Astyanax mexicanus: one gene and its partner. The protein of the gene in region 1 binds, or shares a complex with, the protein of each later gene. Links are inferred from orthologs where the notes say so. Each region holds a gene or a part of one and is shown in the gene's direction. Other genes may lie near its edges. The genes, in order: mcm5 and gins2.

What was found.
Region 2: mcm5 (region 1) and gins2 share a complex: the UniProt entries of both Homo sapiens proteins name them as parts of the CMG helicase complex. The link is inferred for Astyanax mexicanus from reciprocal best matches to the Homo sapiens genes MCM5 and GINS2.

The regions. Positions count from the first base shown.
Region 1 is NC_064426.1:29,520,777-29,528,054, reverse strand, and holds the start of mcm5 (DNA replication licensing factor MCM5), read left to right. Parts: upstream 1-4,008; 5' UTR 4,009-4,148; coding exon 4,149-4,321; intron 4,322-5,417; coding exon 5,418-5,544; intron 5,545-5,655; coding exon 5,656-5,784; intron 5,785-5,909; coding exon 5,910-6,082; intron 6,083-6,211; coding exon 6,212-6,367; intron 6,368-7,278. Other genes in the region: gcat (2-amino-3-ketobutyrate coenzyme A ligase, mitochondrial), read left to right, coding at 96-178, 427-598, 1,747-1,868, 2,069-2,220. UniProt on the Homo sapiens protein: Acts as a component of the MCM2-7 complex (MCM complex) which is the replicative helicase essential for 'once per cell cycle' DNA replication initiation and elongation in eukaryotic cells.
Region 2 is NC_064416.1:12,865,970-12,873,378, reverse strand, and holds the start of gins2 (DNA replication complex GINS protein PSF2), read left to right. Parts: upstream 1-4,302; 5' UTR 4,303-4,423; coding exon 4,424-4,513; intron 4,514-5,159; coding exon 5,160-5,274; intron 5,275-6,972; coding exon 6,973-7,072; intron 7,073-7,409. Other genes in the region: emc8 (ER membrane protein complex subunit 8), read left to right, coding at 1,364-1,523. UniProt on the Homo sapiens protein: Required for correct functioning of the GINS complex, a complex that plays an essential role in the initiation of DNA replication, and progression of DNA replication forks.

The DNA.
Region 1 (7,278 bases):
TGCTTGTGATTTCTGCCGCTTGCTCACTGTGTGTGGTAATGCTTTTTATTGGCAAGACATTGAGGAAAATGTATGTTGCTCTGTTTTTTACACAGAGGTACTGATGAGCTTCTGGGGGTGATGGACAGAGTGCACATAGTGAACTCCACATTGGGCAAAGCTCTGGGTGGGGCAGCAGGCAAGTAATATTATTAATTTATAAATGTCAGGCTGTTTAGATTTTAAATTATATAAATTATGAGAATAGGTGTAGATGAACTGATTTAAAATGCATTAATTATTATTGTGTCTTTAAATTGTGAATGCAAATTTGTATGCAGAAACACTATTTTAAACTTAGCGTATATTTGTGCATTGCTTATATACATTAAGCAAATATACAGTGCCACGTGTTTCTTGTCATAACTCCCAGTTTTATTCTCTCAGGCGGTTACACAGTTGGACCTAAACCTTTAATCGACCTTCTCAGGCAGCGCTCTCGTCCTTATCTCTTCTCCAACTCTCTCCCCCCTCCTGTGGTGGGCTCTGCCACTCGTGCTGTGGAACTGCTCCTGGCTTCCAATGAAATTGCGCAGAGCATGGCGGCTAAAACCATGAGGTAGGAATAAAGGAGAGAGGGGAGGTTCAGTGCTGTGTTTATTCAGTTACAGATTTGTGCTGACCTGCAGATAGAAAGGCTCGCTGTGTTTGCCTGGGGCTATTCATGGTCAGATTGCTAAATGTTAGAATGAACAGAAAGAGATGTCTACATTCTCTACAACTTTGAATATATATTTCTCAACTGAGATTTGTTGTAAAAATATTCTGAGTCAGATTAAGGCCTGCAAACAAACAAACAAACAAACAAAAGCAATCAAAAGGCCTGCATTTAACATAGTCTTCTAACTTACAATCGAAGTTCTATACAAACATTTACAAAAGTTTTCCAAAAAATGTGCCAAATCAAATTATTCATAATCAGACCATCCATAGAGGCATTTGTTCCTTTCATGTGCCACCCGTGCAACATAACAGATCACCATTGCCTTATATAAGCTGGAGATGCCAGTATAGGGTGGTATAAGGTATTATTGTGAAGTATTGGGTATTAGTGTATGGTATTATTAGGTAGCACTAGGATGTATAGAGGAGTGATAGGTATTATTAGGGTGATAGGGTAGTATTGTGTAGTTTAGGGAATATTGGGCAGTAGACTGTAGTATATAGTAGTATTGGGTAATGTAGAGAATATTATATGATACTATTGGAGAACACTGGAACATATAGAGTAGTATTGGTAGTGCAGGGTAGTATAGGGTAGTATTGTGTATTTAGAGCAGTAATGGGTAGTACTGGAATGTATAGAATAATATTGGGCAGTGTAGCGTAATACTGGAATAAATAGAGCAGTAATGAATAGTATTGGGTAGGGTAGTGGGGCGAAAAGCTGCATATGCTGTATATCAAGCAGTAAGAATGTAATAAAGAATCCAATTTAATAGTATGTGTAACTGCTCGCTCCAAAAGAGTAAAAACTAAAAATGATGTTTTTCACAGTACATTTGTTACAATTCAGCACAGCACAGTAATGTCTAAAGGGAAATAATTTTAAAAGTAGCTGTTTATTCCTGTTTAATCTAATGGCAATGAGTGTGGTAAATCAATGGTGATTTATATGTTCTAAGTTTTGCTCATTACATAAAAATATCAGTTATTCATAGTATCAACTCTCAAATACAAACGCCTCTTTCTCTTCTCATCCATCAGGTTTAGAAACGGTATGACCCAGGCAGGGTTCACCATTGCAGGTGCCGCTCACCCCATCTGCCCTGTGATGCTGGGAGACGCACGTCTGGCTTCATTAATGGCTGACGACATGCTTAAACTTGGTAAGACCAAAAAAATTTTTTCCGCAGTTTCAGGTTGGAAAGCAGTCTGTTCTGATTTGCCGTTTTCTGAGATAAATTAACAGATACTTATAATTGCACTCTTAATACACGTTTGCAAATAAAACTGTAAACATGGTGGTGTAATTTAAGAAGATAATGTAACAACAATCAGAAAGTAATTTTTCCTTTTTTTCTCTTAGGCGTGTATGTGATTGGATTCTCCTACCCCGTGGTTCCGAAAGGAAAAGCCCGTATCCGAGTCCAGATCTCGGCTGCACACACCGACTCAGACATCGACCGTACAGTGGACGCGTTCATACAGACTGGCAGGAAGCACGGCGTCATATCATAACGTAACACTCATAGAAACAAGTGCCTTTCAAGGATCATAGATTCAACATGGAGAAAGAACTGCTTCTAGTAAATGGACTGTTACAGCAAAGCTTTACACTAAAAAAACAGATTTTAAAAATGTTATTTAGTGCTGCTGAAATTTAAATCAAAGTGTTTTGCACTAATAAATGCTTTTGTTTAACTATGTTTCCTTGCCTTTTTCCTTATAATCATCACAGTTTATCCTTTAGTCAGTCTTTGCTAAGAGTTATTTCTCATGCTAACCTTTCACTAAATGGCTTTGAAGCTAATTTAAATGTTGCAAACCCAGTATCAGAATGAAATCCGGTGCTATATCCACTCTTTAACATTTTATTGTAAATCTCCAAAAGAATCGAGTGACAGTCTTGCATACAGTGAGCCTGCTAGTTTCTCAGTGCTTGCAGAGTAATGCCATACTATTGTCCTTAAGCCATCCACACACTTGTAAAAAAGAAAAAAAATATTTTAGAAGACTGTTATAATATCAAACGCAGTTTAAAAAAAAATTGAATGTCAAGCAGAGACTTAACACCAAACAGATGATAAAAGCAAATCTAGCAAGACTCAACTAATTATATGCTGACACTTAGAGACTTGTGATTTACCTTGGTGACAATTAAATCGCTTTAAAGTTTAAAATTTTGGACCCACTGCAATATCTTTCCTGAAACAGGTGCTTTCATTGGCTCTAATTACCAAAACTAATGTAAGGCTGGACAATAATTCAGTATCAATATATATCATGAGCTGATATTTTAAGTATACATTATTTACAGTATATTTCTCTGACTGGAGTTTGTGTAATACAGTACAGTGTAATATTGGATAGTATTGGTTGTGTAGGTAATGTAGGGTAGTATAGGATAGTGTAGGTAATATAGGGTAGTATTGTAGTATAGAGTAATATGGGGTAGTATTGGGTTGTGTAGGTAATATAGGGTAGTATATGATAATGTAGGTAATATAGAATAGTGTGGATAATACAGGGTAGTATTGATACTATAATGTATAGAGTAATATTGGGTAGTATTGGGTTGTGTAGGTAATATAGAATAGTGTAGAGTAATATTGGGTAGTATTGGGTTGTGTACGTAATATAGAATAGTGTAGAGTAATATTGGGTAGTATTGGGTTGTGTACGTAATATAGAGTAGTATAGGATAGCATAGGTAATACAGAGTATTATAGGATAGTGTAGGTTATGTAGGGTAGTATTCAGCAATATTGGTTGGTATTGGGGAACACTGGAACGTATAGCGTAGTACTCTGTAGTATTATTGGGTAGTAGTAGTTTGTTGGACAGGCATTAATTGTGGGCATGCTTGGTAGTTTTAACTGTGCATTAAGAATAGAATTAATGTGATTATCTGGATAAAATAGGAGAAACAAACATGGATCTCACCATTTGGTATGGATATTCTCAGTAACAACTTCAGACTAAATGTCTGAATGGCCATGTTAACTGATGTATATTATGATTGCACTGTATGTAGCCTGTAGAGAATGTGTACATTATTCATAAGAAGTGGGTCAGTGTTGTAAGTTATTTAAACTCCTCATATTGGTGCAACAGCATAAACGCCATATTGGGTCAGCCCCAGGTTAACTCTTAGCTACCTCCCTTTGTTACATACCGCCAAAAAAAAAAATTCCCGCCACGGCGGACATTTGTCCCCGCCTTTTATAAGACGTATACCCGCGCAGCTCCAATGAGCGCGGCTGAATTTGACCAGGGGGCGGAGTCTCGGCGTTTTGCCGCGAAACTGATCAGCGTGGTAGGCACTTTGTCCATAGAGGAAGAAGCTGTGTGTATACAGGCGAGCGGAGCGCGGACAATCGCTGATATTGATCAGTTTTTGATTATTCTTTCTTTTAAATAGTCTGTAATCTTATAAAAAGGGCAGAATGTCCGGATTTGACGATCCCGGGGTTTATTACAGTGACAGTTTCGGAGGAGGAGGAGAAGGAGTGGGGGATGAAGGCTCTGTGAAGCGCAGTCAGATTAAAAAGCGCTTTCGGGAGTTCCTGAGGCAGTTCAGAGTCGGCACGGACCGCACTGGATTTACCTACAAATACAGGTAAATCTACTTATAAAACTGAGTTAATCTGAAAGAGGCTTCTGATTATCTTTTGTTGACCCTTTGTGTAACGTTAGATATGGTGGTGCTGGATAACTCTAGTTAACTCTACTTTTACCTGTGCCAGCACAGAAAATCGTGACTAAAATTATACATTTTTAAACCTTATATAAGAGGTTTCTGCACTTTTTATTTGGAATTAAAACGTTTTTATTGCTTACTGAACTGGTTGACCTGGCTAGGGTTAGCTCATTTTTTTAAACTGAGCTAACGCTAGCTAATTTAGCGTTAGCTGTCTAATATCTCATAACATATTTTTTTTTAAAGCTTCGCTTACTGCAGAATGTTGTCATATTGTGAAGAGTATGTGATTTAAAATTAAGAAAACAAGAGCTATAAGAATTATTTATTTGACCCCTAGTGGAGAAATTCAGTGTTACAGCAGCAGTGGTAAAAGTTATACCAAAGCACACCAGAAAGATGAAACGTTAACAAAATAAGTATTAGGACAAACACTTTTTTATTACTGCCTAACCCACTAGCTGTCTTTTTTTTTTTTTTTTTTTTTTTTTTTTTTTGGTGAAACTTTATCTGATGAAAGTCACGAAATAGTCATTGCCTTTACAACTCTTCTTGCTCGTAGGAGACTTTTATTACACCGGAAATCAAAACACCCTCCAACTTCTGTGTGGCTTAGAGACTTGATGAGAAAATTTCACTAAGGGGCTGTAGGGGGAAAATCCGTTTTAACCTATATAGACAGCAATAAATCTATAATAGACAATGAATAATACACCCTTCCCTCTTTTCTATTCTCCTCTATATTTTTATTTTAATTATTTTTTTTTATTGAAATAAGAAGCCATTGTATTCTGGAGTGGAGATCTGTCAAGGTTTTTTTTTTCATAAATGTAAAAAATGCAAATATTTAATTGTGACTACTTTCTAATTTGTATTTATACATGTTCATAAAAATAAAATTATTTAAAAACTTTTATTAATACTAATCTAAATAAATAAATTTATTAACAGAAATGCACCTAGCCCACCTTCTTCTTTTGTTTATTGTGCTGACTTTCTTTTTTTTTTCCCACAGAGATGAGCTCAAGAGGCACTACACTCTTGGAGAGTACTGGGTGGAGGTGGAGATGGAGGACCTGGCCAGTTTTGATGAGGACCTGTCAGACTGTCTGTATAAGCTGCCCACAGAGAACCTTCCTCTGGTGAGTACACACAGTGTAAAATTAGACATGTATATTCTACAGAATCTCCGAGTAAAAATGCAGTTCTTGGTTTTTGTTCATTGTGCATTGATCTGCTCTGTTTATTGGTAGCTGGAAGAGGCAGCCCAAGAAGTAGCTGATGAGGTCACTCGCCCACGGCCTGTAGGAGAAGAGACCGTGCAGGACATCCAGGTCATGCTGAAGAGTGATGCCCATCCTGCGTCCATACGGAGTCTGAAGGTAAGATATCTGGGGGCTCGTCAACTCTGCAGTGTATATATGTTTACCTATGACTGCTTGCCATCCTTGCTATCTCTTATTTTTGTTTATTCATATATATTTTTTGCTTTTCCCATTTTCCACAGTCAGAGCAAGTGTCTCGTTTGGTGAAGATCCCTGGTATCATCATCTCCTCCTCAGCAGTTCGAGCCAAAGCCACCAGAGTGTGTCTGCAGTGCCGAGGCTGTCGTGCGGTCATCAGTAACATCCCTCTGCCCCCTGGACTACAGGGCTATGCTCTGCCCCGCAAGTGCAACACGTGAGTCTTTTTTTTTTAATTTCGGTTATGTATCCGGCTATTAATATTGTTCAAAGCGAAATCATTCACTGTTTCACATCAGACCTCAGTTTGTGTAGTAAACCTCGTACGCTCCTCCTTGGTCTGCAGGGAGCAGGCGGGCCGTGTGAAGTGTCCTGTGGACCCCTACTTCATCATCCCAGACCGCTGTGTTTGCGTGGACTTCCAGACCCTCCGTCTGCAGGAGTCTCCTGATGCTGTGCCTCATGGAGAAATGCCCCGCCACATGCAGCTCTACTGCGACAGGTATGTGCACACTGCTGCGGGGAGGTTAATCAAATAAATTTGATTAATTGAATTACAGTTTTAGTCTGATTTTTATGGGGTAATTGAGATTTTACATCTTTATGCATAGAACCTGCCAGAGGGCATTTCAGTAAACCTCTTATGTGGCAGTGATGTTGAAATTTCCTTATGTGAAATACAAGGAGGTTATGTTTTCACCTTGTTCTGTATAAAAGCTGCTTTATATTCTTAAAAAGTAGCTAATTTTATTTTTTCTAAGTTTTGTTTGCACGGTTTGGACTTGAATATTGATGTAAAAGAAACAATGGTTCAGGGCTGATATGGTCATGAAAAACCTGGAAAAGTCATGGAATTTGAAAATGGCAATTTCCAGGCCTGGATAAGTTTGGGAAAAAATATAAATGTCCAGAATGTTTTATGAAAGTAATGGAAATTTGGTCTACAAATCTTTGTGTTTCAGTTTATTAGTGAAAAATTTATTTTGAGCTAAAAAATAAGTCATCTTAGCGTATGTTCAGTAATTTAAGCCTACATAATGGAGCTGACACAATTTATTAATAAATATTGTGTGTCCACCTTTGATCTGACTCATTTTAGGCCTACTATAATCCATTTTGATTTATAGTTTTAATTTAGTTTTAGATTTTTGGTTTTATTGTCCATGTCTGCACGAATATTTTAAAAACCGTATAATCATTTTAAATGGGCCTTAAAGGCATAGAAAAGATCATGGAAGGCATGGAAAAAATCATGGCAATTTGTTGGTTAAAACATGTATGATCCCTGATGGTTCTAAATGGTCCTATTTTCTTTACTGTTTTGCCATAAATAAGTATTTATTATAATGTTACAAATAAAAAACATCAGACTAAAATGGTAGAAAGTGTAGTTGAGAACCACTTAATTTTTTT
Region 2 (7,409 bases), on another chromosome or scaffold:
AACCTGTTGGCACCATGCCTAATGATGGGTGTGTTCTAGAGGGCTATAGAGACCCCAGCACTGAGCTGTAGAGCAGTGGCAGAACTGTGTTCTCTGGAATATTTATGCTCCATCTAATAATTTATAGATTTAGAGTTGGGCAGATGTGGATGTGTTGATCATCCTGATTTACTAAATATCGTGTTGCTGAATGCAATCAAATCCTCACAGCAGTGTGCTAAAATCTGGTAGAAAGCCTTCCTTGTGCAGTAGACAACTACTCCAACAAAAGTAAATTAAACCATTATATTTAAAAATAAACGACTAAGCATGTTTAGAGTATAGAGTACCACTTTCAACGTAACACACAGTTAAAATGTGAGTTACAGAAGGAAATGTCTGCCCACTAAACATACATAACTAATATTCTGTGAAGTGTTTGATAAAATACATTTAATTGTAAATTAAATAAGAAATGTAAGGTTGGCAAAATTAAATAATATTTTTATATTTTAATTTTGTGGTTAGTCATGATTAAAAGTGTATATTAAGGTCACAAATCTGGTACTTCCCTGAATTTTTGGGAGATATACTAGTGTGATTTGCCTCTAACTCTTCTAACTCTAACACTAATCAAATTACTGTTTTAATGTGATTTTCAAAATAGGATAATCGAGATTGTAGATATGTACATTTAGAGCCTGGAAGAGGGAATCTTAGGTAATAGGCTTGTGTTTCTGTTAAGATACCTTTAAAGAACTCTCTCATACGGTGTATTTTACAGTTATTTTCATATGTTTCAGTTTTCTTTAACTAAAAGTGGGTTAGGTTTGTATCTTATTTAGAGCTTGCACAGTTTTGACTCCCTTGAACATGAATGTTTGTATACTTGATATAAGGCTGTAAATGCTGGGCGCCAAGCGGTCCAGCAGACTAAAGCGCTGCCACTACGAGCGGAGGTCGCAGGTGGGGCATCACTAGTGATAGGGGGAGTCCTAATGAGTGGGTTGGATAATTGGCTGTGCTAAATTGGGGAGAAAATGGGAAAAAATATAAATTAAATTTATAAATAAAAAAAGCTGTAAATGCTGTTTGTTTGTTTATTTATTTATATTATGTTATCCTAAAATAGAAACTGATTAAAACTGTCTTATCAGTTGATGTGTATCATAAGGAACTAAAAACATCTAAATTGTAATCAAGAATTGCATATAAATTTGCAGAATTTCAAGATTTTATCGTTTTACGATATCGCCCAGCTCTAATCTCAGGGTAGTTTTAGTGCTTTTTAAATTAGAATCTTTTAATGTGTTGAGTAACATTTTACAAGAGTTTGCATAAGTATCTGCATATGACTGACTGTGGATTTTGAATCTCATTTCAGAGACTCTTTTGAAGACTGGACAGAAGCTCAGAAGATCACGTCAGCCCTCCTGGAAAACAGGTCCTATGAAAACCTCATAGACTTTGACAACCACCTGGATGACCTCAGGAACGACTGGACAAATCCTGAAATCAACAAATCTGTGCTGCATCTATGCTGAAGCCGTCGAGGAGATCTCCTGTACTGTTCAAGCCATCAATGCCAAAATGGGTTGCGTATTGTTACTGAGTTCAGTCCCATAGAAAGATTATTCCCAATGGGAAAAGCTGATGGAAAGGACGCATTTCTAAAGGGCAAGCAGGACACTGGTACAACATGTGTAATGAAGGTCTGAGATGATTCTGACCTTCATGGCATGATTTATATTTTGGTCTGTTTTTCTTTTTTTCTGTTGTCAGGCAGCAATTTATATGCATCCATTTGACGCACAACCTTATTAATTTGGTGGTTTATAGCAGATTACGATCAGTTCTACTTTTTTCACGTCGTTAAGTTTTCTTTTACTAACAAAGCTTAATTTTCCACTTCACTTTATTGTTTATTTTGAGCAAAATAACTTGAATCAACACAGATCCAACTTTTCTTTTCTTACATACTAACCTGGTTGGATTTGTGTTTTAATTTCTGAATTTTATTAATCAATCTGAAACACAACCACAGATCCTTTAAAAATGGGATGGAAATTGCAGCATTGCGTATTTTTCCCATTTCAGCTGAAGTGGCTGGTCAAGATTATTTACCACCTTAAATGCAAATAAGGTCCATTTAAGCGTAAAGCCATCAGCTTGAAGGACTTATTTTAATATCCATACACAATACAACTGTAAATGCTAGAGAATGATTCAGATGTGTTTTTTTTTTTCAAATGTAATTGCTTGTTTGTTTTCCCTGAATTCTGTAGCCTTACAGAGATAATAAATAATCGTTCAGAGTTTATGTTAAAGAAAATTGTTTATTTCACTAATATTTTTAATGTATATACCTCTTTTAAGATGCAACTTTAAAAGAAGATTAGTCTTAATATGTAAGCAATTTTTGATGCTCTACCAAATATGAGTTTAGTTTAATAAGGCACAGGTGATATTTGTGTTAAAATGATTGATTTGGAAGTTGTGTAATTCAGTAATATTCACTGAGGACTGATAGGATTAATATAATTATTAATATCATTATTAAAATATGATTGAGATGATTGAAATTAGCTTTTGTAAAACTAAATGTAAGAATAAAATCTTTTGAAGAAATCTTTGTACATTCTTTTTTTGACACTGTGTCTTATGGGTATTTAAAACAAGAACCAGCAACATGGATGTATTTGTCCACTGATTTTTTTCCACAGTATTGCTTTCAGTCATACTGGTTATTTATTGTATTGTGTCGCTGTGTATGTCGTTTTGGATCGTTTGTTTTTACTTGAGGAATCAGGAGCATGACCAGTTGAAAAGCAGTACAGGAACTAAAAACTCTAACAATGAAATTAAACACAAAAGAGCAGCGATGGCTTATAAATAAAAGCAATATAAAATTAGAAATAGAATGTAGATTCTCACCATCACAAACATGAAAAAAAATACACAGCCACAATAACTGCATTTATAAATTTCAAATAACCAATGAAAGCATACCTAAACTATCAGTAGTAAATCATGATGGAATGTACTATTTGCAGTACTGTGCACCCTTTTCGACACAGAATCACATTTTTTATTATTTCTCTCAGCAATAAAGAGAGTTTCTACAGGAGTATAAAACTTTCTATTTCCAAATCATGGTTATTATTTAAAAAAAAAAAAAAAACAACAAACTAAAAAAACTAAATCAATAACTAAAAAAAATAAAAAAAACAAAATCACAGTTCTGTCGCCTCCTGGTGGCTAGGTCACGTGGTGATTACAGGCTAAACCAAAGGACCAAGTGAGAAAACCCACTTGGGTTTGTGACGAATTATTGTCCAAAATGTATGGAAAACAGAGTTTATAAATGTTTGATTATTTGTACACTGACAATTAAACTAATTTCTTCAACATCGAAAAATATAAACTGTATCATTGCTAACTCCAGTTATAAACCTTTAAACAAATGGTAAACAAGTACAAAACAGGAATTATTTTGCATATATGAAATTGTAAGGTGTTTCTTATGGATTGTTTGTTTTATTTGTTTTTGTGATACTTCACAGTGTAACAGACATGTATATTAGTTATGTAAATAACAAAATAAGCTAAATCTTCCACCAATACATTTTTGGATTTTTTTTAATAAACTAAACTAAAACCAGTCAGCTCACAGTAGCAGTAATGCAAACACCTTTACTGCCTAAAACATTTTTTTAAGAAACATGGAAATATGCAGGTCATTGTATTAGCAAAATAATGTATTTTAAATCTTACAATTAAAGGAATCTCTTGTAGTATTAATTTACTATTTGTATTATTATTATTTTTTTTTTGCAATTTAGCTGATTAGATATGGAGTCCTTAACCACACTGGCAGAGAGGAGAGCCCTCAGCAAGCTGCTGAACACCTTCCTCTGCTCAGCACCATCACCAGACAGAGGAGCACATTTAGTGCACATGCTGTGCCAGTTATGGGACCATGGTTATTGAACCAAATATTACTTTCTGAACTCTTAAAACTTTATGAATATGAGCTTTTATTTTTACATTATTTGAGGTCTGAATCTCTCTCTTTTTTATTATAGCCATTTCTTATTTTCTGCAAATAAATGCTCTAAATGACAATGTTTTTTTTTTATTTGGAATTTGGGAGAGATGTTGCCCGTAGTTTATAGAATAAAACAACAATGTTCAATTTACTCAAACTTATACCTATAAGTAGCAAAATCAGAAACTGAGGTGCTCCATTCACTCCCATTCATTGAGGTCTTCCTCGCTGGCTCCCTCTAGCGGCGGGTTCTGATATAACGGGGGGCGGCTCCGGCTAAACCACGGGGCTGTAACGTCACGCAGCCTGTCTGAACAATCCGCGGGAAAAGCGGAGCTGAGTTTTCGGGGGATTTAAGGATTATTCTCGGCTTTTCCGTCGATATTTCAACAAAGCATGGATCCGTCTGAGGTGGAATTCCTCGCTGAGAAGGAAATGGTGAAGATTATCCCGAATTTTAGCCTGGATAAGATCTATTTAATCGGGGTGAGTAACGTTAGTTTAGTGTGTGTTAGCTTAGCATAGTCTCCCCTCAGAGGCTGCCTGATTAACTAGCGTTACGTAAGTTAAGTTAACTCTAGTTAATTTAGCGAGTTATAAACTTATACATTTAAGTGTTTATCCGACAGCAGCAGCAGCAGCGCTGTTTTGGGGGTTAATGGGGCTGTTCGCCGGTGTTCTGTCGAGTTATGCTACCCATCGATATGTGCTTTTTTACGGCACTGCGCATGCGCCGACCAAAAGTTTATTTTTGTACTCTTTCTATAATTAACTTACTTACTTTTTATTTTTGGGTAATAAACATCATCTTTGCATTTTTGTACTGTAAATAGCAGTTAAAAATAATAATTAACAATAAAAGATAAAAAAAAAACAATATTGTTGTATGACCTTACCTTTTTTTATTTTACCTGATAACGTTAACGTTACAGTGATTTAACTTAGCCTATCCACATAACGTTACCTCACCTAGGCTTCTGCTTTGAGTATTTTCTAATATGTTTTTTTTTTTTACTTTGACCTTTTTATATAAATTAAATACCACTAGGGTAGCACGGTTTGACAAGGTAGCACAACTCGACACAACACCGGGTTGTTTATAAGCTCTTGTGTTGTGATCGTATATTTGTAGGGGGATCTGGGTCCGTTTAACCCCGGGCTGCCGGTGGATGTGCCGGTCTGGCTGGCCCTGAACTTGAAGCAGAGGCAGAAATGCAGGATAGTTCCTCCAGACTGGATGGACGCAGGTAACCAATCCTCACTCTGGGGTTCTGGGTCTTTCCTAAAATAATTAAGCATTCATTATTCACAGTTTATAACTTTTAATAGCTTTTGGATTCCTTGCACTGTTAGGAGTGGGCGATATGGCCCTAAAATAATATCACAGTATTTTTGGCGATATGACTAAACACAGATAAAAAAAATAAGAAGAAGATTATGGTACTACAACAACAAAATTATTATTTTTTTAATTTTTACGGTTGCATGTGTTATGATATGGCACACCCCTAACTGAGATATTAAATAATACAAGATTTATCAGATTTATAACAGACATCAATAATCCAGAATGTCATACTAATCATACACTCCAAATATCTCCATATTTCCAGGTTTAAAGAAAAAAAAATTATACTGGACAGATATAGTCTGTCTCTAGTAGATTTATAGTTGTAAATGAAAACAGCGTGAATTGTTCTTTTGGGAAATATCGCAAAAAAGTAATGCACTGATGTTTTAATTAGGGGTTAGTGATATGGCACAATGTTTCACACTATTTAAAATGTAGGCAATATTATTGTGTAGGATACAATATCGCACACCCCTACACTGTCCCAATGTTTGTGGTTACCCCTTCTAAATAGGGCTAACCGATTAATTGCAGAAAAAAAAATCATCAGACTAGTCAGCTATCAAAATAATCACTAGTTGCAGCCCTACTTCTAAATGCACATGAAACTTATGCCGACTATACACCAAACTATTTTCAAGCGATTTTACTGTTGCAGACAAATTTCTGGTGTAGGGATAAAATAATAAAAGTCTTTCTAGAGTTGAGTTGTGGTCGCACTACATCTTTCAGTGGTTAGGATTGAAGGTTTAAGTCTCTTTCTCGCCCTGGCCTTCAGATAAAATGAACCCTTTTTAATATTATTGTAAGTCTTGAGCCTTGGCTCACGCAAATAGTGACGTGAACAATGTGACATACTGTAGGTTACATTAAGGGGAATACATTGACACAAAAGGATAATACTTATAATAAAAAATCGAGCTACAGATGAAAGGAGCCTGTCAAAATGGAATGTTTTTTTTCTTTTATATACAGTGCAGAGGAAGCAGTTAGAATATGGTTGCTCAGCCTTTATTACCAACTTTATTCTCCATACAAATGTTCTGCACACGCACCTAAACACACTACAGAGACACTTATAGTCAGGTCTAGAATAATCATTCCTACTTTAGCATCTGTCTGTTTCTAAACGAAGCAAGTAATTCTCATTAAAAAAAGTTTACTCTGCTTTGATTGTAGGGATACAGAGAATCATAACACTATTAATTAGGAAGTAGGAAGGCTGATCATCCAGACTGAGGAATAACTATTCAGTTTAGCTGTCTTGTAAAATACACAACAACATTTGTCTGTATTTAGGAATGTGTATTTAGTTACAAGTTTGGGTTGATTCTGTACTTTACAGACTGTTGGGAACCCTCTTTGTTGCCCATGCCCATTTTTGCATGTTTTTTTTTCACTTATGAAGTTATGTTTCACATGAATATAAACAATCAATAACATTTACCTAACACAAATTGGATCCTGTTTAAATTTTGCTTGGGATCTATTAACATACATTTACCTGACAGCCTTTCACAGCTTCACAGCCTGTTGTGTTTTGATCATGTTTCCCATAGCTTTATGTAATCTCTCAATTTTCTGTGCCTTTTAGATAAACTGGAAGAAATCAGGGAGCAGGAGAGAAAAGAGGACACCTTCACTCCCATCCCCAGTGCTTATTACATGGAATTGACCAAATTGCTACTAAACCAGTAAGTTTAAGTTTAAGCCTGCATGGATAATGTGGCATTACTTTTATTTCTGGAGTTGTATGTCACAGCAATGAATAGTATCTCACCTGAATAGACTGTTCTTAATAAACCTTCAGATAGCCATTTCTAAACATTTCCAAAAACAATGTTGCTGAGGACTTATTATTGACATTGTCATTACTGACATTTACTTATTGGACTGCTGTAAAGAAGTCACATATTAAATATTTCAATGGTTTACTCTGTTTGCTTTGTTTATACATAAAGTGCCTTTCAGATTTAGACTTCACTTATTTATAACAATATGAATAACAATATAACAATATGTTTGTATAAT